7 linked regions of the Macaca mulatta genome follow. The protein of the gene in region 1 interacts with the protein of each later gene in a pairwise test. Links are inferred from orthologs where the notes say so. Each region holds a gene or a part of one and is shown on either strand. Other genes may lie near its edges.

Region 1 (3,500 bases):
ATTCAGCAGAGGAGATAGGAGCCAGATGTGCTTTTTAAAAAGACGAGCAACATAAAGGACCCGGGAAGGGGAGCTTGGGAGTCTAGGCACAGAGGCCAGTGTACTGGCAAAATCTGCTTCCAAGTCTCTAAGTTTGTATGCTGGACCTGCACCGGGGGGGCCTCCTAGGAGTCAGTCTGACACCACTATGCACCTCCACGACCCACTGCTGTTGAGGGGGCTGAAACCTACCTGTTCCCATTTGGGTCACATTTAAGGTTAGCCCCCAGCCAACCACCCACTAGGTATGTGAAAAACTGTATTAATCATACTCTCAATACAAGTCCAACCTGCTCCTCCATGGGGGACCACTCGGCCTTCAAAAGAAGGAAGACCCTGGGGAAAGACCTTCTCCAACGTTTGGGCAAACATGGCCCAGGCTGGACCTAACCAGAGAAGCCTGAGGCCTGACACCCAAGTTTCTAGCCCACAGTGAAAAGCTCGGGAAGAAAAAAATCTACTCCCTATACAACTGAAACAGCAACCGAGAGAGACAGAGAAAGGGTTGAAGAGAGAGAGAGGAAGGGCAACAGACAAGCAGATATCAGAGGCTGGAGATGCAGGAAGAGAAGAGAGACTCTCGTAAGACCCAGGGAAGAAGAAAAGTGCTCCTGCAGCCACTGCAGCCCCGGCTGGAAGCAGCCACCTGTCCTCAAAGGAGCCCCAGAAAGGAGAAAGCCAGAGGGCATGGAAGCCTGGGCCTCCAGCCTCCAGCCACCAGCCGGGCACAGAGTACCTGCGGGGTTCCCGATTTTATATTGAAAGCTTGCAGAACTTGCGTATAAGATACCCTTATTTGTCTCATCATTCAGTTTTAAATTATTCCTCCTGTATCTCTGGGGCTCCAGAAGGGGTGGGATCAGATTCAAAGCACAGTGTTTGACAGACGCCACTGAAACGCCTTCCCTAAACCGCCCGCACATGTGAGTCCCTCACCCCCGACTACCTTTTACTCAAGTACTAAGTAAGTTCAAAATGCCAGGACAGCAGTAGTACCTTGTTGAGACAGCATTTTCCAATTATCTGGAGCAGCTCATTTGTTCTTTCAGGCTCATGCCCGGCCACGATTCGGGCTGGTTTGGCTGACAGTGGCTCTCCCGACACCATTACAACCACGTCTATGGCTTTTTGTAGGAAGCTAATTTTTGCATCTTTATCCTGAAACATTTCCATTGAAAATATAAATATTACAATACTTTGAAGAGTATGCATTATCTTCAGTATGTTCTACAGGCATAGGATAGTTTCTGTTTACATACGAAGCTATTTTTAGATCTATAACAAATCTAGAAATACTGACCTTTTACTGACAAAACAAAAACAATTCATTAAAGCCTTTAATTTAGTTGATAGGCTAGCATTAATCTTTGAAATACTAATCCCATTTTTCAGTGAATAAAACGAGCATGAGATCCAGTTACCACAATGAGAAAATGAAATGAGGAAGGGTATATATCAATTCATGAATTCACTGACCTTGTATTCCAACCACATGCAGCACAGAAATGACACACGCCACACGACCCGGCCTACAAAAAATCCCATCCGTTAAGGCGAGGGGTTAACAGGAGAAGCCCGACTCAAACCCACCTTCACATTATCAGACTTCATCTCGGCGTCTGTGTAGAGGCCCTTCATGAAACCAGTCATTCTAATCACCTTCAAGAGAGAAAGAAAGGCCACCACGTCACTGCACAGACAGCCACCTCATCAGCCTCATCCACTCAATTCCACACTTGGGAGATGTCAGAATTGACTAGCAGCCCAGACTTGAATCATCCACTTACTCAAGAAATGTTTGATGTCTACTACACGTGCTGTGCAGGGCAGAAGCCAGCCAGATCCTCTCAGAACTTAGTCTGGCTGTGTGGACAGATGGGTGAAGATGACACCGTGCAGGTAGTAAGGAAGCACTCAGGCTTGGTACCTAATCCACAATCTGGGAGGGGCAAGGGTGGCAGGGAACCCTTCCTGGAGGAATCATACCTAGATGGGGACCAGGCTTACAGAAGAGTTGGGCAAGGGGGCATTTCAGATGCACATGCCAGACATAAGGAAGTCCACACACTGGGCGCGGTGGCTCATGCCTGTAATCCCAGCACTTTGGGAGGCCGAGGTGGACAGATTACTAGGTCAGGATATTGAGACCATCCTGGCCAACATGGTGAAACACCGTCTCCACTAAAAATACAAAAATTAGTTGAGTATGGTGGCACATGCCTATAGTCCCAACTACATGGGAGGCTGAGGCAGGAGAATCACTTGAAGCCGACAAGTGGAGATTGCATTGAGCCGCTGCACTCCAGCCTGGCAACAGAGCCAGACTCTGTCTCAAAAAAAAGAAGAAAAAAAAAGGAAGAAAGTCCACACAAGGTCCAGGACCCACAGAGTTCTGTGCCAGGGAAATGTACAACGGCAGGAGCCTGAGGCCAGAGAGACACTCGGGGCCTGGTACAGAGGCCCTGTGAAGCCACTCAGGGACGTGAACTGAGCCGAAGGACCACGAGGAGGACCTGGAACAGCCTTTTACAAGAGTCCTTCAGGTGCAATGGAGGGAACAGATTCCAGAAAGAAAAGGAACTTTGGTCGGGCACAGTGGCTTATACCTGTAATCCCAGCACTTTGGAAGGCCGAGGCGGGCTGATCACTTGAGGTCAGGAGTTCGAGACCAGCCTGGCCAACATGGTGAAACCCCCGTCTCTACTAAAAATACAAAAATTAGGCAGACATGGTGGCGGATGCCTGTAATCCCAGCTACTCAGAAGACTGAGGCAACAGAATTGCTTGAACCCGGGAGGTGGAGGTTGGAGTAAGCCGGAATCGCGCCACAGGACTCCAGCCTGGGCGACAGAGTGAGACTCTTTCTCAAAAAAAAAAAAAAAGAAAAGAAAAGGAATTTCTCAGCCTAGTTTTCTAAGACTAGAAGTTCTGCAAGGGTCTTTCTCCTCACCACGTGTCACTACTCACTTCTTAGGATCATGGCAGGCTCCACACCCCATAGCTTTGGTTCTCTCCCCAGTCACCCCTTCCCTCAGGTAACCTGTACCTCTTAATTAGCCCTAAAACCAGCTTTTAGGACAATGATTTTTTCTGTTCCTCTCAACCCCCACACCCAGCCAGGGTCGTGGGTTCTCTCAAATTGAAAATTTTTGAAATGTAGTAGGTTACTGTAAAATCAGTAAAATTTGTAGCAACAAGCATTTTGAACAGCCGGGACCCTTACCAGCAGGCTGCATGGTATGTGGTAAGGACAGGTATGCCCACAGCTGTGTGTCCTAGGTCAGCTAATAAAGCATATTTATTACGGGGAGTTGTGTTTTACAAACAAGACAGTCCCATCCTAACGTCAGCCTCCTCTGGATTCAAGCCACAACTCCTTAATTTGCATCAAGTTAGGTATTAATCAATAAGAGTTTTCATTCCACACCACGCTATGTAAGAGCTGTACTACTATTTTTCTT
Region 2 (4,114 bases), on another chromosome or scaffold:
TTCATGAATGGTATTAGTTTGTTTCTTGTTATTGCTAAGTAGTATTCCATTATGTGGATATACCATGTCTTGTTTATTCATTTGCTAGTAGAATAACATTTGGCTTTCCTCCAGTCTGGGACCATTATATTAAGCTGCTATAAAACTGGAGTATAAGTTTTTTGTTGTTGTTGTTGTTGTTTTTTAAATAGAATTGCGTTATTTCCCCCGTAAATACAGTAAAACTAGTATTTGAGACAATGGTGCTCTTAAGCTGTCTCTCTTTAGTCATTAAGCTTCCAATTAGTGCTAGAATCATTCTCAACAGTCAGGAAATCATGACTGCATACTGAACACTGAACCAGGTGAAAGAGAGGAATATATAACAAAACCTTGAGATTGATAGGTATCCATACATGGCTTCAAGGCTGAGCAGAAGCCACCAGAAGCCAGGGGGAAAAATGCCAGGAAAGTTCACAAATATAGTTTTGATCTTCATGCTACTGTGAGAATTAAAAAAAAAAAGTTGAACATAAATAACAACCTTTGAAAATGTCAACATGTGAAGCTATTAACCAACTCCACATCCCTGTTTAGAAATTCCTGCTTACTATTCAAGTATACACTTGATATTCAATTGACGGATGTTCCAACACTATATTCAACTGGCAGAATTACTTTTAAAGGGTACGAAGGGTTTATCCTTATGCACTCAAATGATTACTGTCGAAGGTAACCTGGGACTCGATTAATGGCTGTTAATTATTCGCCCTTCAGCAGACCTCAGTATCCCTTTAAGACTAAAGTGGCTAGAATTACCGGCCCACCCGGGCTCCCAGTTGTAACTGAGACAAGCGGAGGAGCCTGAGGAGCTGAAGACGCACAGGTAACGGTCGCGGATGGCCGGCAGGATCTGACATTTAAAATCACCCTGCTCATCTGGGCCTGGGCGCCTTTGACAGGCGGGCGTGTCAGCGACAGTGTGGGGGAGAAGGGGCTGGGCTTCGCCAGGCAGCGCGCGACGACGCCCTTGCCTTGGCCTTCACCGAGTAGAACCCGAGAAGCCCACTCGCCTGGCTTGGCCAACGCCCCCACCGCCCAGGGCGCCCCCAGCAGTAGGCGGGCAGGTGTGCGCGGTGCGCGCTCCCAGTGCGTGCCGGGTGCGGAGCCAGCATCGGCGGGGCGGCCAGGAGCCCAGCGGAGAGCGGCGAGCTGGGTGGGTGTCGGCCTCCTCGCCTCCCCGCCTCCTTCTTCTCCCCTCCCGCTTGCCGGGGATGCTTGCGCGAGGCGCCCCCTCGCCTTTAAGCTCCCAGCCCCGGGGGGCGGTGTGTGTGAGTAGCTGGGAGGGGGCCGCGAGGCACTCCGCCGAGGGCTCGTCCGGGTTTGTCCGCCGCCGTCACCTGACTCGTCGGAGGAGCCACAGCTGAGGTGGGGGCGGGGATGGGGACGCAGCTTGGAGCGCTAGAGAGACGCGGCGGCGCTTGCAGAAGAGGCGGCGGCGGGCGGGTACTGGCTTCTGGGGCCAGGGGCGGCGGGTGTCGGGACCGCGGAGCTGAGGAGCGGGGCCCGGCCAGGGCTGGAGACTTTGCGCCCAGGGGCACCGGGTCTGCGCGCGGTCGCACACACCCACCAGCGCGGCTTCCCTCAGCTGCCCGGGCTCCGCTCATCCTGCGGCGGGCGGCGCCGCTCAGGGGCGGGGTGAGTACCCGCGGCCGTACTCGGCCCCCTCCCCGCGCCAGGGCCGCGCGGGGATCCACAGAGGATAATCCCAGGGTACGGAGAAGGGCAGCGGCCGGGTGACAGCTCCGCGGAGCGCTCCAGGGCGGGCGGGGGGGCTGGGCTGCGCTGTCAGCCCGGCTCCGCTCCAAATCCGGGAAGGGTGAGGTGCCCCAAGACTCCGGCGCCTCCGCAGCGCTCCCGGGCGGCCCCTGCGGCAGGAATTTGGAGACCGGGGGGGAAGGGGCCCGGGCTATCGGCCTCGGCGAGGCTTTGGAGCCGGCGGCGGGGAAGGAAGGGGAAGCGAGGGCATAACATGGCGCAATGCTAGGATAATCTCCTTCGCGACTGAGGGAGGACGAGCCCTTTGCTGCAGCAGCGCGAGGAGGAGGAGGGAGGCAGCCAGGGGTTGGGTAGCCGATGCATTCCCCGAAGCCTGCAGGCTGCTAGGAGGAAAGTCTGCGAAGGTGGGAGGTGGGCACCGGTGGGTGCGGCGCCCAGGGAATAACCCGGACGCACGTCGTGGCTAGCGCAGCACCCGCGTGTCAGGTTGCGGGGAAAGTGCTGATTGACAGGGGGGTCCCCAGGGGGCGAGTCTGGTCCTGTGTGGGGGTTGGGGGAGAATGGGGACGGTGTCACGATGCTGAGACTGGAGCCCACGCTGGGGTTCCGTGACTGCCCCACTCACGGCCAAGACTCCCTGGACCGCATCGCAGGAGCGGGGCTTGGCGCGTTGCTGGCTCCAAGAGGTGGTGCCAGGGTGGGGATGGAGGAGGAGAGAGCCGCCGCGCGGCTGGAGGAGGCAAGGCCTGGGTGCTTGGAGGGGAGGGTCTGCGGATTAAAGCCGGACCGTCTCCCCTTGTTTCCTGCAGAAGAGGAGGTGGTAGACGCGACCAGAGAAGATGTCGGGCCAAACGCTCACGGATCGGATCGCCGCCGCTCAGTACAGCGTGACAGGCTCTGCTGTAGCGAGAGCGGTCTGCAAAGCCACTACTCATGAAGTGATGGGCCCCAAGAAAAAGCACCTGGACTGTAAGCATCTCTTTATATAAGAGGGACATGCGCACGGCAGAGGCGCCTGGGATGCTGGTGGTGCGGCCTGTGCTCTTGGTCGATAATGCTGCGGCCTCTGATATTCCCAGCCAGGTTGCCCCTGAGCTGAAATTCTCCAGCTGTGGAGGTGTTCCCTTGGGTTAGTCCTGAAACCTTGTCTTGTGAGCCATTTTTTCCTCTTATTTAACTCCAAGGTCTTGGTGAAGGGGGAAAAATACACACACACACATTATGTGTATATACACACACACACACAGATTGTACACTCTGAATTAGATGTTTTGCACCTTTTTTTCTTTCTCCACCCACCCTCCCTTCTCCAAATTAGAGGAAATTAGAGGTTGCACAGTCAAAAAAAAAAAAGATGAATTTATGGAAGGTCAAACTTGTCACCCTAGTTCTTTCCTAAATACATTTCAGATAATTCTAAGATAGTATCATCTTTTTCAGTGTTGCTCCTGAGGATTTTTTTTGTGAGAGAGTGTGTGTATGTGTGTATGTTACCATACCAAACAAATGAATTCAAGATACTGAATGAGGAAATTGGACTTAATAGCTATGGCAATTTCATTTTACACATTCTGGTACATTTTGTCCCATTCTCAGAAAATGCTGGGTGAGATGACTATGCTATGGTCACAAAATGGATGTACTTCCCCAGCATCTGAGATGGTGCAATTTTAGATGGAAACATTTAATTCTTAATGTTGTTTTTGTAACTGGTTATTTGATGGAAAAGGCTTTATTCTACTCTGGAATCTGTACATTTCTGAAATACCTTAATTAACAGTAAATCTTTCGTCATTGAAGGATAAACAGAGGCACTTAGAAAAGAAAAAGGCTTTCACCTGCTTTGGGTGGTGAGGCTCCTCATAAGTCAGGCTATATGAGTGTATGTTCAGCAGTTGCTATTTAGTTCTCTTGACCTGCTTAGGATCTTCTGTTCTATTGTGATGTTTTTGGTAAAGGTCAGTGTTGGCATGAGAGACACAGGTATGGCCATAACCATTTCCTCAGCTGGCTTCCTTTGCTCATCTTCTGGGTTTTTTTGGCCTGAGGTCTTTTCCCTACTATCTCCTTTGTGCAGCTGAGAAAGTGGTACCAGTGTCAGAATTCACTCTCGCCCTGTTATCTGCATAAGTCAAGCTTGGTGGAGCTTACAACTGGACGTTGTAAGAGTTGGTCTAGCCTTCTGAACCTGTTGTCTCATAGAATTGAATAATTTTGTTTCTAGAAGCTGATCTGAGGAGAAAGTACCATTATGCCTTTCCCAAGGGAATGTTTAACAAAATTTGTTGATTACAGTATTATATGTTATATGTGCAGTACAAGATGAAAGAGGCCACCAGGGCCAGGGCACCTAACA
Region 3 (3,500 bases), on another chromosome or scaffold:
CGTTGAAAAAATAGTAATATATATCCACACAAATATGTATATGAAAAATAAAATAGAGATTAAAAATTATTTTAACTTAAGTTGATGTTTGAAAAGATGCTGAGTTAGGTAAGATAAAGGAGATAAGTGGAAACCTATTTTTATAACAATTTTATTGAGATTACATATGATAAAGTTCACCCTTTTCAGTTATATAATGTAGCGATTTTTGGCATATTCACAAGGTTGTACAACCATCATTACTATCTAGTTGAAAAGCATTGTCATCACCCCAAAAAAGAAACTCCATACCCATTAGCAGTCAATCCTCCTTTCCACCTTCCTCTCCAGCTCCTGAAAACCACTTATATTTCTGTATCTATGGATTTTCCTATTCTGGATATTTCATATAAATGGAATCATACAATACGTGGTCTTTTGTTTGCTTAGCATAATCTTATCAAGATTCATCAATACTGTAGCATGTTTCATTACTTCATTTCCTTTTTTTTTTTTTTTTTGTAGCCGAATAATCCATTGTGTGGCTATTCCACATTTTACTTATATATCATTTGATGGACATTTCTGTTATTTCCATTTTTTGGCCATTGCAAATAGTGCTACCATGAACATTCATGTACAAATTTTTGTGTGGACTTATGTTTTCAGTTCTCCTGGGAGTGGAATTGTTGGATTGTAGGGTAGCCCATGTTTAACTTTATGAGGAGCCACTAAGCTGTTTTCCAAAGTGGCTGCACCATTTTACAATCCCGCCAGCAACGTACAAGAGTTCTGTTTCCTCTCATCTTCACCAACACTTACTATTTTCTATCATTTTTATTTTAACCACCCTTGTGAGTATAAAGTGGTTGACACCTCATTGTGGTTTTGATTTGCATTTCCTAGTGGCCAGTGATGTTAAGCATGTTTTCATGTGCTTATTGTCCATTTGTATACCTTTGGAAAAATGTCTATTCAGGTATTTTATTCAATTTTTAATTGGGTTATTTGTCTTTTTATTGTTGAGTTGTAAGGGTTCTTTATGTAGAAAACTATTTAAAGATTGAGCAGGGAGTTGAAGATTTTTTTCTTAAATCTTGTGTTTGTGGGGGGGGTGTGTGTGTGTATACTCGGTGAGCATTTCCAAACATTTTAGATTTTGATAACACTGGTTCTCTAATTTTATTTCCAAACTTCCAGCTTTATATTTTTGTGATATAGGTGTATTCATATAGTAAATCGTTTTTCCTAGGCTTGTTAACCAAAAATCATTTTCAAATCATAAATTCAGAAGTATAAGGTGGAATGATGTTCAGAGTGAGCTTAATATCTATACTCCAAATTTTTCAGCTGAGAAAAGATGACAGCGATCAAGCATGCGTTACAAAGAGACATTTTTACACCAAATGATGAACGCCTGCTGAGCATTGTGAATGTCTGCAAAGCAGGAAAAAAGAAAAAGAACTGTTTTTTATGTGCCACAGGTGGGTATTTAGTAAGAAAGAGTACTTGTTTTGTATCCTTTTGTTATTTAGGAGATATTTCCTTTTGTTTTGAATATCCCAGTTGTCTCTATAATTGAACAAACTGTTGGGTCAACAAATTCCCACTTGGCTTTGACAGGCTGTTAGTTGTTGCCAATCTGGTGGTAGTGAAATAGTATCTCATTGTGGTTTTAAATTGTATTTCCCTATAATGATGAGATTGAGCATCTTTTCATGAATTTCTTGGTCATTGCATTCTCTTGTCTATGAAATTTACCTGTTTAAGCCTTTTACTCACTTTTCTATTGTGTTGCTTGTCCTTTTACTGATTTGTACAAGTTCTTTCTATAATCTTTCTACAGTCTTTTGTTGGTTGTATGCATCCCAGGTAGTGGCTTGTCTTTTCACTTTTTATGATGCCTTTTAATGAAATTTATAATTTAATATAATTAAATGAAATTAATTAATCCTTTATGGCTTTCCCTTTTGGTGTCTTAAAGATCCTTCCCGGATATCTTTTGTACAGTCATAAAAATATTTTCCTAAATTCTAAAAGTTTTATAATTTTGTCTTTTACATTTTAGTCTTAGTTCACCTGTGTCGACATCTGTCGTGGTGTGTGTGAGCATTTCTGGTTATCATCTTATATCTTATTTTTATTTTGTTTTTGTTCTTTATTCCACCTAAATTTTAGAAACAACTTGTCAAGTTTCAGACTTTGTTGGGATTTTGATTGGAATTGTTTTGAACCTATAGTTCAATTTGGAGAGAACTTACATTTTTATTGTATTGAATCTTTTGTGTCGATGAACATGGTACAGTTCTCTGTTTAGGTGTTTTATAACTTTTATGAGTTTCATCATTTTCTCTAAAGGTTTCGCATGTATATTGTTGGATTTATTCCTGGGTATTGATTTATTCTTAGATTTTATTTGATAGTCATGAAAGCTCTTTTTAACATTAATACATTTTAAAATCATATATTGTTAGAATTCTACAATGAATTGTTGGTGTTTTATATGGATATCTATCAATCTTGCCAAACTTTCTTATTAATTCCAATTATTTATAGACTCTTTGAAGGTAGTGATATTTTTCTTCCTTCCTTTATAGTCTTTATATCTTTTATTTATTTTTGTTGGTTTAGTTTCCTAGTTAGGACTATCCATCCAGGCTCCATCTCAAAGAGAATGACTTCATTTTTAAGCATGATATTTGGTAGAGGGTTTTTATAGCTATCCTTTACAGTGTTAAGTAAGTTCCCTTCTATTCCTGATTTCTTCCAATTTTTTTAAAAAATCATGAATGGGTGTTGAATTTTATCAACTGCTTTTTATATCATTGATAGTATCATAAAATTTTCTCCCTTGTTAGTGTAGTGTATAATTGTACTTGGTTTTTCAAATGATAAATTGACTCTTTAGAATGACCTCACTCAATTATAATGTATCTGTATTAGGCCATTCTTGCATTGCTATAAAGAAATTATTAGGCCAGGAGTAGTGGCTCATTCCTGTAATTCCAGCACTGAGGGAAGCTGAGGTGGGCAGATGGCTGGAGCCCAGGAGTTTAAGACCAGCCTGGGCAACATAGTAAGACCTTTATATGTAAATATATTGTTGCTCTTTGAAATGCTATTTTGCTCTTTCAAGCCTCGCAGACTTTACATATGTCAATCATTCTTTAGATTTTTACCTCATACTTTTCTTTAAAACTGGTCTGAATTAATGTGTTATTAATATATTATTCCTTTATTTCTCAAGGAGTCTACTCTGAACCTCTAGTCTGACTGAGATGCTTCTATTAGGATTCTGTGCTTTCCTCAGTCAAAGCCCTTGTTGCAAAGTATTACACCTCTTTTAGTATCAGCTACTAGGCACCTGAAAGCTATACTTGCAAGGAGCAAAAGAAGAATGAGTGAAAGGAGTAATATTTCTAATAAAAGTGTGTGTTTTACTTAACAGTGACAACTGAACGCCCTGTGCAGGTTAAGGTGGTCAAAGTCAAGAAATCCGATAAGGGAGATTTCTACAAAAG
Region 4 (4,024 bases), on another chromosome or scaffold:
TAGCAGCTGAAACGTAAATGAAGATGAGAACTCAGTCTACATGACCTAAGATTTCCCACAAGTCCAGATATTTAGGTTACGCAGACTGCATTATTGTCCGATTTCTCCTCTGCATTAATCTGGAAGTCTACAGAACAGATTAGCACACAACAATCTTAACTAAGCTAGTATCCAACTCTGAAGGAAGGCGAAGCTGGTGGAGGGTTTCCAAGACTGCTTATCCTTCTCTGTCCTTCCTCCCATACCCTCCTTATGTCTTTTTTGGTTTTTGTTTGTAAAATTTAAAAATATTTAATTTTTTTAAATGTATTTTTAGTCACAAGAAAATCAAAGAAGCCACCCATTTCAGTCTTAAGCTCTGCCCTTTGCCTAGTCCTAATGGAGGGTTCTTTGGCCATCTATGTATAAAAGATGAGAGAAGCCAAAGAGACTGGAGAACCACCACATCAATGGGAGCTTTTTCATCTAAAGGTCATCTGTCCACACTGTCCAAATGAGGTTTACCCTGTGAAATAAACTTGGCATAAGTGCTACCTGTTGAGAAAAACAGTGTGAAATGTCACGCAAAGGACTGGGGTGCAGCAGGAGGACTCTGAAAAAGTCATACGTGTAAACCAGCAGGTCTTAGAATGTTCTAATATACTATATGCAGTTTCAGAGTAAACAAATGGTTAATGACACATCTTTTGTAACACATGAATCAGCTACTGATTTGCAAGAGTGGGACACACCCTAGTACCTATGACTCTAAAGTACCTGTTTGAAAAGTGGACCTAGATGTCTGAATTGCCAACCTATCCTAAAATTGGAACAGAATTTTATAACTATGTAAGTTGCCATAATTTAAAGTTAAAAAGATCACTGCCTTTCATTATAATGGAAGTTAATTTGAGAACTTCATTAAAACGTTCACACCGATAATCAAAGAACAGTAGCAATGCAAAGTAAGGTACAGCCAATCAATCCTAGGAAGCAAACACAAGAGGCAAGAGAAATGGCAGGTAAAGGAACTGAAGAATAGCAAATTCAAGAATTACAAGCATTACAAAGTTCTAAAGAAAAATGAATAAAATGAGGCTGGTAATGAAAAAATAACACATCTTACCTTAAGAGGCATCCAAATAGCATTCATAGTGTCAGGATATAAAGACAATACTCAGAAATGAGCAAGAAGTCTTAGTAATTCCCTCGGTTACCAAGTATGAGCAGGTAGGAAAATCTTTTGTTTCGATAAGGTATCTGAAAGAGAGGATTTTCATTTAGACTAAAAAATAATCAAGAAAATGCAAATAGTTTAAGCTACATGGGCAGGGATTTTGAAGTACTATTTGCCTCATCGCACTAAAAAAGTATAGAAAATACAGTCCCCTTTAGAAAACGGCAAATGTGTGTGTGTCTCCGTACATATGTGTAGAAACATACGTTATATAAAAAGAGAAATAAATATGTAACACTTACTTTAGATAATGTAAAATTGCTTATCAAACAGCCAAAATCCCAGAGAGAATAAAGTTTCCAGGGTACCTCATAAACACTAAACGTGATTTGTTAACTAACCATCTAAAAAAAGACCCTTGCTACATTTAATTATATTTAGTAAAGTAAAACCTCTCTAATCATCCCGACTGTCCCAAGATTATGCTTAAGTTTCAGAGTCAATTCCACATGAAAAGTAAAACCTATTCTTGACTGAAGTACTAGAAACAAATAAAATACCCTTCTTCCCCAGAGATCGTTAAAAGCAGACCGAGCAACTTAATTTTGAGGGTAGGAGGAAGGTAAATTTGCCTGGAGGCTGGAGGATGGACTAAATGACCTCTAGTAGGATCCTCGTTCAAGTCCTGGGCCTGAATACAATTCCAGCTTAACCAGTTACTGCTTCGCTTAAAATGGAGGCTTGCCCGCGTAGGGACAAAAATAACAGCACCCACTTCGTTAAAAACAAATGTCGAAAAGTACCCTTATTTAAATAAAAATAAAAAATAAACACCTCTGGAGTGGATGTGTTCTTGCTATGCGTTTGTCACTGAGGCTTCGAAGACTTGGCATCACTTTCCTTACCGCTCACCGGATTTTGGGGGAGGAGCGGGGGGCGGCAGTTTGACTCCTGACCCAAGTCTCAGGCAGGCTTCAAAGCCCCACCAGGGCCCCCAACTCCAGAGCCAGAGGGAGCGGAGAGGCGAGAGCCCGAGATCGCACCTCCCCCCACCGCGGACCCCAGTCCCAAACCTACCCCTCACCCCTCCGCAGTGGGGCGCCTCCTTCTGCCCCATTCCCATTGTTAGGGAGGGGAGAGCGCGGGGTGGGCTCAGGGCAGGGGCGCCCGCGGCCGTTGCCCGGCTCGCTTCAGGAGGGGCGGCCCGCGGGATGCGGCTTCCCTTCCTCTCCGCGTCGGTCCGTCCCACCTCGGCTCGGCCTGGCGCCCCGAGCTCCGCTCCGCGCCCCCGGCCGCGGCCCCGGCCCGCCCCCGGGGCAGCCAGGCCCCCCGGCCACTCGGTCGGCAGCCTGCGGCCCAGGCCTACGAGTGGGCGCTGGGCGGGGGTCCCCGTGCCCCACACACGCGTCCCTCCCCGAGCCCCGCCGCTTCCAGGGCCCTCGGCGGCGCCCGCTCCCCGGGCCCCGCCGCCCCCCGCCTCCCAGCCGGGCCGCTCCCTCGAGCTCGTCGTGTCGGGGCCGCCGCCTCTACCTCACCATCACCCCTGTCCACTCGTGCCCCCACCCCCAGGGGCACCAGTGCCAAAGACAGCTCCCCCAGCCCCGGACCTACCTGCACGGTTCAACCAAGCCTAGAAGTGGGGGCGGGGAATCTTCCGCCCTCCTCTGGCGTTCATTGGCCCTTCAGGGGCATATCGTGAGCGCCATTGGCTGAGCGATAGTGTCCGTCAGAGAGATGGGGCGGGACCGAAGGGGGAGAGGGATGCTGGTGCCTCGGCGTCTCTGTCTCTGTGTATCTCGCTGTCTCTGTCTCTGTCTCGGCCCTTGGAAACGAGAGGCTTTTGGATGAGAGGACTAGAAGCGGGCCTGAGGTGGGAGGAATAGGAATAGGAATCCTGCCAGAGCGTCACGCCAGTTGGCCACTCTGAACCCCCTACCTAAGTCCCCTTTAGGTTCTCTTCTCCATCACCCCCAACCCCTGCCCCTCACCCCTCGAGGTTCCTTCATCCAGGAAGCGACGTGATGAAAACTCCAGGCCGGAAGGCCATAGGGAGAGATGTTATATATGTATAGAAAATATACACATATAAATATTTATATATAAATTCAACCAGATATCAGTTCACTAGGGCCTGGAAAGGAAAGGGCACACATCTCACAGACAGGGAAGGACTTGAGATAGAGCCGGCAGAAGAAGGAATCAAAAATCACTCTTAAGAGCTGGCAACAGTGGTTACCTCCTGGGAGGGGAACTGAGTGCCTAGGGAACCAGTGGGCGGAAGACTTACATATCTCGGCGTATCCTTTGTATCCATTGATTTTTGCACCATTCATCAAGATTCCAATTTTTTAAAAATTGATTTAAAGGTTTAAATAAGGTCCCAAAACCAGGGGACAGATAAGATAGTTGGCCAGGAAAATTGGCACAACATGCAGATTTGGGGAGGAATCTTAGCTTTTAATATATTCAGTTCCAGGTAACAGGGTTTTGTAAAACCCAGTGAAGGTGTCCTAGAGGCAACTGAAGTTACAGAACTTGAGAGAGGGTAGACAATCAGGACTAGAGACTATGTGGGGTCCTCTGCCTGAAGATAGTGGTCTGTGACATGCTAAACTCCCTAAGCAGGGTAATAAGACACCCACGGTAAAAGGTAGGAGAACGAAAAAGAAGGTCAGTGAGGTAAAAGAAACAGAATATTAAAGAGGCATGAAAATTAAGGAAGGAAGGGTCTGTGGAAAATAGAACAATAAAACTATGAGAGAGGACGGGCGCGGTGGCTCATGTTTGTAATCACAGCACTTTGGGAGGCCAAGGCAGGTGGATCACCTGAGGTCAGGAGTTCCAGACCAGCCTGGGCAGCATGGTGAA
Region 5 (3,500 bases), on another chromosome or scaffold:
CAGACAGTTTTTTAAATTCCAAGCTCTTGTCCTCTAGGCTTTTGTTACTGCTTTCATGTGAAGATTTCAAACTCTGGAATTCTTCATCTGTGGTTTTCAACTTGCTAGTCAACTCAGAAACTTTCCGCTTATCTTCTTCCGCCAGCATCTTCAGTTCAACTAGCTGCTCTTGAAGAAAAGTATTTTCCTTCAGAGAATTATTCAAGTCAACCTCCAGCTTTTCAAGGTCGGCTTTCAGTTTAGTTTCATCTTGTGCAAGAGAATTCACATGGGCAGACTTCTGCTTTAACTGTTCCTGTAATTCATTTAATGTTGTATCCTGCTTAACACCTTCTTCCTTCAGCCATGTTATTTCCTTGTTCATCTCTTCTTTTTCACACCCAAATAGGAGGATCTTCTGTTTCAGTTCTGCTACCTCTTGTTCTTTTTCCTGTAATTGGATTTCATGTATTTCTTGAAGTTCTTCAGCTTGCTGATTAAGTTTCTTTTCCCAGATTGATATGACATCATTGAGTTCTCGTTGATGAACCTCCATAAGACTTTCTATTTGTTCCTTTTGGTTTGTTTCCAGTCTTGACACTGCATCACTGATTCCAGCTGAGTTAGCCTGTGCCATTTCCAGCATTTTGGCATTAAACTGTTTTTCTTTCTGACTAAGTTCTAGAACAGTATTTTCAAGCTCTTTCTTAAGTTTGGCTTCCTGATCCAGTAATTTTTTCTTTAATGTTTCTTGCATCTCCTTTGCTTTCTGCTTAATTTTTTCCATCTTTTTTTCTTGGTTTTTAAATTTGGTTTCATATTCCCCATTCAAAATATGAATACTGTCCTCCTTGGCTGACAATTTCTGTGTGAGTATCTCAATTTCTTTCTTCTGTCCTTCTCTCATTTGTAAAATCGTATTTTCCTTTTCCACCAAGATTTGTTTTGTCTGTTCCTGTTCTCTGTTACTATCTTCAAGTTTGGACTCATAGACTTGGGTTAAAGATTTTACCTTTTGCTCCATTTCACTATTCTGTTTTTCAAGTTGCTGCATTAAGTCCTGCACCTGGATTTTGTGAGCATCTAACTCAGTACAAACATCTTTCTTTTGTGTTTCAACTTCAGCTACCTGTTTGGTAAGAAGAATTCTTTCTGTTTCCAAATCCAACAACTGCTGCTGCAATTGGGCCAACTGTTCCTCATATGCTTTTGTCTGCTCATGTGTGGCACTCTGGTAAGACTGAAAAACATCCAGCTTAGCAGATGCCTGCTGGAGTTCCCCTTCAGACCTTTTAATATCTGCCTCTAAATTTTCTACATGAGTCTGATGCTCTTTCAAATGCTTGTCCTTTTCCTTCAACAGAAGCTCAAGTTGATTAATTTGATCTTTTAATGCCTTCTCAGTCCTCTGGATAGATACCTCGTGTTCTTTAATGATACTGTCAACTTGCTGCTGGTGATGATTTTTCTGTTTATCCATCTTGGCCTCTAATTCCTGCTTCATTGTATCTGTTTGATCTTTCAGAACAGAAAGTTCCTCTTCTAGCTTGTGACGGGCTTTTAATACCTCTGACAGTTCAGAAGATAATGATTCTAGTTCTGTTTGTTTCACGTCAAGCTTTTCTAAAGTCTTTTCATTCATTTCTTCTATGTGGGCCTGGAAGAGAATCTCTTTGTCTTTCAACAATGTTTCTTTTTCTTGTTCACACCTTTCCCTAAGTTTTTCCATTTCTGTCTGATATTGTTGCTTTAAGACTTGGAGTTTTTCAGTCCAAAGGGCATCCTGCTGATGCTTAAGGCTTTCCAATTCTGTCTTGTGTTTTTCAACCATGACTGTAATCTCCTTATTGTGCTTATTTTTTTCAGCTTCCAGATGAACAGCCAAATCTTTTGACTGATTTTTGTTTTCTTGTAAGCTTTTTTCCAAAGAACTTTCCAATTCAAGAATTCTCTGTTAATTAAAAACAGATGCATTTTTATTAAAGTACGTACTTACCTATTAGCAATGATACACAGACATGATGTCTACCACCTACCTGAAGATCAAAATTTACATAAATAGCTTAACATATCATACCAAACACTAGAAAGAACAAAGAATCTGTGCTCAATTACTAAAGGAATCATATAACAAAGAAAAGATTACGGCCAGGCACGGTGGCTCACGCCTGTAATCCCAGCAGTCTGGGAGGCCAAGGAGAGTAGATCACTTGAAGCCGGGAGTTTGAGACCCAGCCTGGCCAACATGGTAAAGCCCCGTCTCTACCAAAAAAATACAAAAATTAGCCAGGCGGGGTAGCGTGCGGCTGTAGTCCCAGCTACTCGGGAGGCTAAGATTGGGGACCCTTGAACCCAGGAGGCGAAGGCTGCTGTGAGCCGAGATCGTGCCACTACACTCCAGCCTGGGCAACAAAGCAAGACTATCTTGAAAAACAAACAAAAAAAACAACAAAAAAAAGACAAGAAAAGAAAAGATTATATGCTTAACCCAACTCATAGTTCCAGCCTACATACTATTTTATTATTCTCATAATTTTAGAAGAAAAAGAACGTATGATTTTTCCACCTTCAAAATTATCATTTAGAAGGTTCTTTCTTTTTTCAAAAAGAAGGAACTTGCACAAATTTTAACAAAGATTATTATTATCTCATGAAAATGTAATTTTGACTCTGAAGGAGTTAAGTAAGGCAGACCCACAAAATGTCAGAGCTGGAAAGGTCCTAGGGTCCTAAGGAATTACTGAATCTAATCTCTTCACGAGACAGGTGATGAAATTAAAGTACAATTAAATTAAAAAGCTAACAAGTAGAAGATCTAGGCCTCCTAAGTGTCCATTTCACCCACCATGGAACCTTTTGTAAGTGTTCGTAATGGAAAAACTAAGGATGGTTTAGAACTATGAGTAAGAAGTATGGCTGTTTTACTATCTAAATCAGAGGGAAAAAGCTAACAAGTCTAAACATCGTCAGTTTTCAAAACAGGTTGTACATTTCAAATACTGCTAAGGAAAGGGTCAGACAGGGTCTTTAAAATGTACACTCTGAGACATATATACAAATATGTTCATTACAGGACTATGTTTAGTATGGAAAAACTGGGGAAACCAAATGCAAAACAACACACTAGTGTAATTAAACTGTGATATAAGCAGAGACTGGATTACGTTCAGGACATGGCATAAGATAAACCTGGACAAGCAGGAAGGTGCCAGAACAAGTACTGCCTACAAAATGAGCCCACTTCCTAGACATCAAGGATGAGCACGCAATGGAGATGCTGCAGGGTCAGTGAAAAGCGGCAGACTCAGTGGCTGACAGAAATACAGCTAGCTAAAGGCAGAACCAGGAGCACCATGTAATAAACAGAGCCCAAAGCCAAATCCACTCCCATGCATAGCTCACACTATCTAAAAATGAAGGGCACGTATACATAAATCTAATCCAGTAATCTTTGAAACTTTTTACTGACTAGAGAGATAACAAATTTTCATATGCAAATAGTTTCACAACTCCAGAATCTG
Region 6 (4,081 bases), on another chromosome or scaffold:
ATGAAAGAGTATGATAAATCATTTTTAATAAGTTAGGAAAATATTACAATAGAAAGTGGGAGGAGAAGGAAAGTTTGGGAAATCAGTTTGTTTTACTCTTGAGATAAAATTTTGATGAAAGATAATAAAATAGAATTTTGAAAAACACCTGATGTTTCCAAGGCAATGATTTTAATCTCTTTTATTAAACTACACAAGTGGTTAAAAACTTGACAATTTGTTTCATATATAGCAAATGACGTGGAGTACAGGGATTTCAAATGAATGCTATAGGAATAAAGAGGAAGCTGTATTAATATCTCTGCCCAAATGATGAATTTGCAATTCAGTACTGTCTAGCTAGAAGTGTCAACCAACACCTATTTCCCCTTAAATAATGTAATTATGCATAAAACACTTTGTAGTCTTTTTTAAAGTTTAGAATAACATCTATATGACATACTCTGTTGTATTTTTCATAATGTTATGCCATGTAAGATATACCAAAACTTTGTATTAACAGTATATTATCAATTTAGATCAGCGATCTCTTTTTCATAGTTAAGATGTCTTTAAAAGATTCTGCAAATGAAATTCTAAAAGATGATTTTGTTAGACCTCAAGATGACTTACATCATTTAAATATATTCAAATGAAATATCTATTTGCCATACACTATTTGAATAATTCTTTACAATGCATTATTTGAGTAATTCTAAAAGTAAACAATACAATGTGTTTGACAATACAGTGATCTCTTTTACAGAGTAACTATTCTGTTTAAAAAACAAAATGTACTTTTGTAAGTTTTTCAAACTAAGGCGAATTTACAAACCAGATTCAAATGTCAGACATCCAAATAGTAGTATATTGTCAAGCAACAAAATTTAATGTATAATATAGCCCTGAGTATATCTCCATTTTCCTTAACAAACTCATTGTCATGTTGCATAGGCATTACTTGATGATTTTTTAAATGCAGTGTGAAAAAATCCTACAGGACATGTTCCAAAAAGATTACCTTCCTTCACATTCGAAGAACTGAAAGTTTTTCAACTATCTACGACAAAGCAGAGGATAGGTTTACCTTGCTTCATTCCAGCAGAATTGCATATATTCTTTCAAAATTGCTCTATATACTGGTATATGTGGTTAATTATATAGAATATATATATATATATAAAATCACTAGCGATTTTGATAGTATTTATATTACATATATCAAAGAAATAAAAATGATAAATAAAAATATGTGTATATGTGTATATTGCAAACAACAGATATATGCCATGCATATTTTTGTAATGATAGTAAATATAATAGTTTTTCAATCTAAAAGCAATAATGATACTCACCAAAAGAAATTTATGAAGCAAGCAAACAATGTAACTAAATGTTGTATTATAAAATCTGGTAGCTTTTAATGTGACTCAATACATGGACAATGTTAACTTATTTCCACAAATTTTTCACAGTGGTAAAACGTCTGCCTTTTTTTTTTTTTTTTTTTTTTTTAGTAGTTGTGGAGCATTACTTATTTGGAGAGACTTATTTTTTCATTCTTAATTATAGGCATCGCTCTCATATCTATTTTAGAATAACTATACTCCACAAGTCAAAGATAGGTGGGGAAGAGATAAACTCCCATCTTTTTGGGACACACAGTCCTTATCATATATTATTTTACTGTTGTGCCACAGTCCATTTTTAAATCCTTCAATAGTCATCATGACTTTCTTAAAAATAAACAAAATAGTTGCATTTCTATATGGAAGACAAACAAAAAATTGAACTGAAAAGCTAGCTCATGATAGACTTGAAACATCTACTAAATATAATTTACTACTAAACATAATTAGGAGTTCCTCAAGTTTGTATGTTGTTTTCCCAAGAGATCATCTGATCATTTGATAGCATAGATCACATCATTATTTGAAATAATCATCATGGTATGCTATAGAAAAGAGCATTTGAAATAGTAAATGTGAGAAAGCAACATTACAATTAAATCTTTATCAATACTTTTCACATCCTTCAATTTTCCATCCCAACTCATTTTATTCTTTATTTTCTCCATATGTCAGAGAAACTTCTCCTAACTTTTAGGCCTCCATGTAGTTCCTATACAGTAGTTAGTTCAATTGAGAATATATGTCAGGTCAGTAACCTTTATGTAACTGTTACTAAATACAGAAGTATCAACTAGTCAAAATAATAACTGAGATATACAAACTATCTCACAGCAATCAAAATAATATGTTATAATCAAATGACATTCTGCATATTCTATTACTGCAGTGGCTTATTAATCAAGAAATCATGTGTTTAATTCTTCTGCAAAGAAAAACTTATAAACTCAATTTCTATTGAAAAGTTTTCCCAATGAAAAATATATATTCCTGAATAAATACATATATATATGCAGTATATATAACATTTATGCTTCTTTGCAAACTACTGTGATAATTTAAAATCAATCTACCTAATTAGTGAGTTTGTCACAAACTAAACATTATGCCACAGTAAAATACATTTTTAGTTACTTTGTACTTACAACAGTCCTCTACTTCTTCCCACCAAAGCATTTTGAAAAGTGTATATCAAGGCAGCGATTAAAAAAACCTGGTAAAGGTTCTTCAAACTTTATTGCTCCAGTAGGCTTAAAAACAATGAGAAACCAACAAACTTCAGCAGCTTTAAAAAAATAACACTTCAGTTTTTCCTATTCATTTTTCTCTGAAGGTAATTGCCTCTAAGATCTGAGTCCCGTAGGGGGAAAGTGAGTGATCCCAACACTGAGTGAGTCAACACAGTAACTGATGCCAGGATTCTGTAGAGGCCCCTGGATATTTCAAATTCCAGGACCTGCGCACAAGCAAGTGACCCGCCTTCTCTCTCAAGTTGGTTTCCCATAATAGGACTGTCCATGGTCACTACATATAAGGTTGTGCTTCCAGCATGGCAAGCTCTGTGAATTCAAATAAGCTCAACTGTGTTCTGATTAATATCCAAACCAGAATAGCACAGTGGACATAGTACTAGCTTTTAAAGCCTTCCAAACACAAAAACTATTCAGTACAAAACCATAACAATATTTTCTGTAACTTTCATGTGAATTTATAACAGAGCAGAAAATCCCGATTTAAAATTGACTTTTAAATGCCTTTTTTATCCTCTCAACAACACCAAAAATTTCACTCTACCAAATAAAAAGAAATGCCCAGAATAATCTATGCATTTGTTATGTATCCACTGCCTACCAAAGTTATTTTTTCCCCTTGAGATTTTTGATTGCAAAAGTCATGTATTGATGATGCCAACAGTCTGAATAAGAGAAGCAGCAGCAGAACACAGCAGCTGAATTCTGAAGGCAGAATGTGTGTGTAGGTCTCATGGGACATGTTTTCCTGCTAAAATAAAGAATATTCTTATAATGGAGCAAAGACATTTTTCTCAAATCCTAAATTTCAGTTGTGAATTATGATAAAACTTCTTTACTAACAAATTATTCTTTCTTCCATTTCTCTGCTGCCAATTCTTAAAACACCATTTTCTTAGACATTGAGTTAATGATCATTTAATGGTTCTGAATGCAGGCTCTTTTTTTTCTGTATTAAGTGAATGCAGTTGTATTATGTCATTCAGCATGTAAATCATTCTTTGCCAATAGAAGTCTTCTTCATCTTGTTCCTTATTACTTTTATGCAACAGGCGAGCCCCAAATTGATAGAAAACATTGGTAGCATTTTTTAAAGAAAGATATTCTTTTTATAGTTATAATAATCCCTACTAAAATTTTTGTTTGAGTGTTTTTATTGTACCATTTGTTAAAGTGACAGACTCATTTTTCTATGTCAAACATTCAACTGCTTGCGACTGAAATGAGTAATAGACAAAAATAAAAAAAAATTATAGAGTCAGACTGTGATGTTTACCTTAATAGTTAATTATACATTTTGCGTTTTAGAATATTATTGTCATAACATGGCTATTTTCCCCAGCAAAATGTGTATGAGATAAAACATAAGGCTTAATTTTAATTGAAAACATTCTTTTCCCTAGGTCACCTCCTTTCCTCTGTGTGGTTGTCTAAATATGCATA
Region 7 (4,147 bases), on another chromosome or scaffold:
GAGTGGAGACAAGCCAGGAAAGAGCAGAAATGGGGCCTGCAAGCTAGCCAAGGCTTGGTGTTGGCGTGAGCACACAGGCATGTACCCACGCACACACACGCACACTCTGCACAGACTCACCTTCTCCAGTAGCTGCCTCAGCTGTTTTGTGCGGGCATCCCGTGAACACATGGTCTGCTGTGGGGCGACCACTGTGCAGATACACCTGCCCTCGCTGTCCTGGGCAGAGCTGTACACCTGCCAGCTCTCCTCAGGGTTGGTGGGCAGCACCTGGAGAGGGGCGGGGCGGGGAGGGAGAGGGAAGGAGAGAAAGGGAGACCATGAGGTTGTGTATCAGAGCCAACAACCAGGGGAAAGTGTCCACATCCACCCCCAGGAAAAGGCATGAGGAAATGGTCCCAAGACATGTTTGACCCAAAGGGAAGAAAGGGTCCCTGGGAACAAAGAAGCATAGGTCTCCCGTTAGGAGGCCCAGGGCTGGAAGGATGTCAAAGAGGCAAGAACCTTTACATTCTTAAAATTCAAGTTCAACTCAAGGGATGTCTGGAGTTTGTCATCTGGCCAAACTGATCTGCTGGGTGGATGGAAGGGGCAACTGGAGGCCACAGACTGGACAAGGGGCAAGACAGGAAAGCAAAGGTTGGGTGGCTCGAAATGGGCATGTATGTCAGAAACAGGATATCCTTCCCGTAAGTCAAGCACAGGTGACTGGCACCACCAAGCCTCGCCCTGCCATTCCCTGACACTTGCAGAAGAAGCACCCACTGTAACAGCCCCAGATCCAGCAGCCTATTTGCCCAGAGCTGTGATGAACCCCGAGCGGCGGCAACCTCCCTGCCGGCAGCGTGGCAAAGGCTGACCCAAGAAAACACTAGGTTTCCAACTCCTCGTGGGCTCCACCCGCGAGCCATTTGATGAATGTCACCAAATTGCCGGTGACATGCTGTGCAGGGGTCACCCTCAACCTCAGTCCTGAGGTTTGCCCAAAGACCACCAAGAAACCGGAGCTGCCTATGTCGGGTCTAACCTCACAGCCCAGCCCAGCCCAGCCAGGTACCGGGGCAGGCACTCATGAGCCTCCACGCTCCACCCTGCTGCCGGCCCCACTGTCTCTAAGCACGCTCCCCTCCGGTGGCATCAGGTCATCTCTCCGCTATTTTTAGCATGAAGATGGGGAGGAGAAGTTGGGCGGGGAGAATCTATAGTAGTCATATCTTTAATCTCATTCATTCCTAACCCGGGAAGATCGGGACCAGCAGGCCGGAACAAAGTCATCATGGAGGAATCGCCCTCAGATTCCTGAAGGAGCTGCGGGGGTGGCCTCAAGAGGAGTCTTAGGAGGGAGCCACACCACGGAGCCCTCTTCGCAGAGCACTGAACCTCTGGCAGCAAAAAGGGAGAGGGAGGGAGATTCATGTCCTTCACCTCGCCTTTCAACCTAGAGGGGCAGTGGTCTGGGGCGCGCCTTCCCAGCAGCAACCCCTTCCCCCGCGGCCCTCCGGGTGGCTGGTTCCAGCTCAGCCTTGCCCAGCCATCTAAGTCAGCTCTGCCCAGAAGCAGCCCTGGCCACGGTTCCCCTCCCGCTAGGCTCGAGAGGGAGACTCGATTTCAGTTTCAGAGGCCAGGAGGGAGGAGTGCGCGCAGAAGACGAAGGCAAAGGCGAGGCAGTGAGCACCCAAGGGCAGGCTCCCAGGGGCCCCACCCCAGCCCCTCAGCACCGTCCTCCCAGGGGAAGGAACAAACCCTCCTATGGACTGGGGAGGAAAGGGTGTCTTGGGACTTTGGGAACGAAGGCGCGGACAGGAGCTTCAGAGCCCACCGGCCGGGGCCCCACTCCCAGTCCGGTCGGGCCAGTCTGGCTTTTACAAACTAGGGCGGGCTCAGAGTCCCCGCTGGACCGAGCCCAGACTAGGGTCTAGCGGTGACTCCACCCCTCACTCGCTGAGTGTGACCTTGGACAAATCCCCAAGTCCCCAGCCTTAGTTTTCTAACCTTTTCAATGAGGGGCTCATGATTAGTGACCCAGGACTCCAAGCCTCCGAACCCCCACCAAGCTCCCCGGGCCCCGCGGCTAAGCGCCCAGGTGAAGGAAACGCCGCCCCGGGGGTGCGCGGGGAAGATCGAGTGGCCCAGGCTGGGGGAGTGGGGAGCAGGGTCACCACTGCTGCGCCGGCTCGCGACCCCTGCCCTTGCCCGCCCTGTTCCCTGCCACCTCCCTGGGAAACTCGGGTCCCGCGCGGCGCCCGCCCAGCCCCGAGCTCCGGACCGAGGAGGGGGAGGAGGAGGAGAAGGAGGGGCCGCGCCAAGGCGGCCGGCGGGCGCACTTACGCCGGTGCTGCGGTCCAGCGTCCCGCCGCCGGCCGCCGAGAGCTTGGTGGTGTTGAGGCCCACCAGCGAGGGCAGCGTCTGGGACATCCAGTTGGTGATCATGGCCATGGTGCTCAGCACGACCCCGATCTTGAGCAGCGGCACCGACATCGCGCCTCGAGCTGCCTCCAGCGCCCGCTCCAAGCTGGCGCTGGCTCCCGCGCCCGGGCGGCCTTCAGGCGGCGGGCACCGCGGCGGGCAGGGGCGCCCGGCTGTATCCCCGCGCCCCCTCGGCCCGCCGCCGCCCGCCCGCCGCCGCCGCCGCCCCGCGCGCCCCGGCCATCGCCGCGCCTTCCCCGGGCGCCAGGGAGGGTGGCCAGGCGGCCTCTGCCCGCCGCGCTCCGCGCCCCGCGCTGCCCGCCCCGCGCCCCGCCTTGCCCGGCTGCGTCCCTCCCGGCTCCTCAGCCGCCACCGGGAAGCGCCGTCCGGCTCTGAGCGCTGCGCTGGCTGCGCGCGGGGGCCGCGGCCGGGAGGCGGGGCTCGGCCGGGCGGGGCCGACGCAATCCGCCCAGGAAATGGGTGGATTTTTCCTCTTGCTCGGCTCCCCGCCGCCCCCTGGCTGCCGGCAGCGAGATCTGCAAACTCCAGTCCGCCCAGGAGTTGGGATCAGGGTGACATGAGGAGACGGACGCACCACCACCCCCCCAGATCATAAAATACCCGGCGGCGGCGTGGGGACCCCAGCTGGGGCACGGCCCGCGACCCTCCTGTCCCGGGGCTTCTCCCATCCTCACGCCCAGGCACCCCTCTCCGATCCCCGCAGAGGGACCGCTTTGGGGCAAAGGTTGCCCGCAGAGAGACGGCGCCATCCTGCCTACTGGGGCCCTTTTCCGCGGTGATTCGAGGGTCCCAGCCAGCCTGGGCCCTCGCCTGAAATCCAGCAGGCAGGGCCGGTTCCGAAAAGCAGCCAGACTCGCGAAGGCCTCCAGCGCCAGGGGAGCATCGGGGTATTGGTGCAGAGTTAAAGGCGCCCCTGCGAACCCTGGGCAGCCGCGGTGCCCTAAGACCTTGCTTGGGAGGAAGGGAGCCAACCGGCACCCCTGGCACCGGCACAGCAGGGCGGGGGCTGGGGTGGTCCGCTGTGGCCTGCGGTGCGCAGGGAGGGGCCTGGGAGAGCGCACACCGGGCAGGAGCTGCATACGGTCTGGGGCTCAGACCTGGGCCTCAGGAGCTGAAGGGGCCACGCCCATGAGCGTGGTGTTGGGGAGGTGGGGGTGTGGGGCGGGGACTGGGGTCTGTGGTGGAGGGGTGTGGGTTGGGGGGTGTCCTCATTGGCTCAGGGGTGGCGCTTGAGTCCTGGCGCCCAGGCCCAGCTGCAGGGCAAGTGGCGCAGGCTGCCCCTCTTCCCGGCTCTCTGCGGCGACGGCGGCAGGACTCACGCGTGTCAGTCCCACCCGAAGCGCAGCAGGCCTGACTGGGTCAAACGAGTTAATAGGGTTTTTGCATTTGCAGAAGGCTTCTAATCGGAGATGAAAGCCGCTTCCTCCGGGGCCTTCCATTAAGCTTTCCCAGCCATTTGGGAAGGAAAGACTCCCCCAGCTCACTCACTACACTCTTCTCTGCCTGGGTGAAAATTAATCTCCCTTCCTGGATGGGATTTGAAAGACGGACGCGGACCGGAAGGAGCGCGCCTCCCTGGCGCCTGCCTGAGAGGAACAACGCCTTCCTGGGGCTTTTCTCTCTGTGCGCGCTGTCCTCGGCTGCAGAGACTTCAGCTGCAGCCGTGATGATCCTGGCCTGAGTGCTGGGTGTGAGACCCGCTAGTTACATGAGCCCCTCA

Evidence for each region.
Region 2: the proteins of TRAF3IP1 (region 1) and SNAP91 interact in a two-hybrid assay, tested with the Homo sapiens proteins (2 studies listed by BioGRID and IntAct). The link is inferred for Macaca mulatta from reciprocal best matches to the Homo sapiens genes TRAF3IP1 and SNAP91.
Region 3: the proteins of TRAF3IP1 (region 1) and EXOC1 interact in a two-hybrid assay, tested with the Homo sapiens proteins (2 studies listed by BioGRID and IntAct). The link is inferred for Macaca mulatta from reciprocal best matches to the Homo sapiens genes TRAF3IP1 and EXOC1.
Region 4: the proteins of TRAF3IP1 (region 1) and KANSL1 interact in a two-hybrid assay, tested with the Homo sapiens proteins (2 studies listed by IntAct). The link is inferred for Macaca mulatta from reciprocal best matches to the Homo sapiens genes TRAF3IP1 and KANSL1.
Region 5: the proteins of TRAF3IP1 (region 1) and GOLGA4 interact in a two-hybrid assay, tested with the Homo sapiens proteins (2 studies listed by BioGRID and IntAct). The link is inferred for Macaca mulatta from reciprocal best matches to the Homo sapiens genes TRAF3IP1 and GOLGA4.
Region 6: the proteins of TRAF3IP1 (region 1) and DMD interact in a two-hybrid assay, tested with the Homo sapiens proteins (2 studies listed by BioGRID and IntAct). The link is inferred for Macaca mulatta from reciprocal best matches to the Homo sapiens genes TRAF3IP1 and DMD.
Region 7: the proteins of TRAF3IP1 (region 1) and OLFM1 interact in a two-hybrid assay, tested with the Homo sapiens proteins (2 studies listed by BioGRID and IntAct). The link is inferred for Macaca mulatta from reciprocal best matches to the Homo sapiens genes TRAF3IP1 and OLFM1.

What each region holds. Positions count from the first base shown.
Region 1 is NC_133417.1:143,573,367-143,576,866, reverse strand, and holds part of TRAF3IP1 (TRAF3-interacting protein 1), read right to left. Parts: intron 1,699-3,500; coding exon 1,630-1,698; intron 1,198-1,629; coding exon 1,036-1,197; intron 1-1,035.
Region 2 is NC_133409.1:102,119,014-102,123,127, forward strand, and holds the start of SNAP91 (clathrin coat assembly protein AP180), read left to right. Parts: upstream 1-1,314; 5' UTR 1,315-1,407; intron 1,408-1,427; exon of another isoform or gene 1,428-1,752; intron 1,753-2,567; 5' UTR 2,568-2,597; coding exon 2,598-2,727; intron 2,728-4,114. UniProt on the Homo sapiens protein: Adaptins are components of the adapter complexes which link clathrin to receptors in coated vesicles. Clathrin-associated protein complexes are believed to interact with the cytoplasmic tails of membrane proteins, leading to their selection and concentration.
Region 3 is NC_133410.1:77,615,710-77,619,209, reverse strand, and holds part of EXOC1 (exocyst complex component 1), read left to right. Parts: intron 1-1,329; 5' UTR 1,330-1,339; coding exon 1,340-1,463; intron 1,464-3,427; coding exon 3,428-3,500.
Region 4 is NC_133421.1:71,124,842-71,128,865, forward strand, and holds the start of KANSL1 (KAT8 regulatory NSL complex subunit 1), read right to left. Parts: upstream 2,801-4,024; 5' UTR 2,768-2,800; intron 2,417-2,767; exon of another isoform or gene 1,991-2,416; intron 1,240-1,990; 5' UTR 1,129-1,239; coding exon of another isoform or gene 1,106-1,128; intron 1-1,105. UniProt on the Homo sapiens protein: Non-catalytic component of the NSL histone acetyltransferase complex, a multiprotein complex that mediates histone H4 acetylation at 'Lys-5'- and 'Lys-8' (H4K5ac and H4K8ac) at transcription start sites and promotes transcription initiation.
Region 5 is NC_133407.1:99,579,349-99,582,848, reverse strand, and holds part of GOLGA4 (golgin subfamily A member 4), read right to left. Parts: intron 1,931-3,500; coding exon 1-1,930. UniProt on the Homo sapiens protein: Involved in vesicular trafficking at the Golgi apparatus level. May play a role in delivery of transport vesicles containing GPI-linked proteins from the trans-Golgi network through its interaction with MACF1. Involved in endosome-to-Golgi trafficking.
Region 6 is NC_133426.1:33,159,100-33,163,180, forward strand, and holds the start of DMD (dystrophin), read right to left. Parts: upstream 2,801-4,081; 5' UTR 2,565-2,800; coding exon 2,534-2,564; intron 1-2,533. UniProt on the Homo sapiens protein: Anchors the extracellular matrix to the cytoskeleton via F-actin. Ligand for dystroglycan.
Region 7 is NC_133420.1:7,408,700-7,412,846, forward strand, and holds the start of OLFM1 (noelin), read right to left. Parts: upstream 2,801-4,147; 5' UTR 2,479-2,800; coding exon 2,329-2,478; intron 1,115-2,328; exon of another isoform or gene 1,028-1,114; intron 271-1,027; coding exon 121-270; intron 1-120. UniProt on the Homo sapiens protein: Contributes to the regulation of axonal growth in the embryonic and adult central nervous system by inhibiting interactions between RTN4R and LINGO1. Inhibits RTN4R-mediated axon growth cone collapse.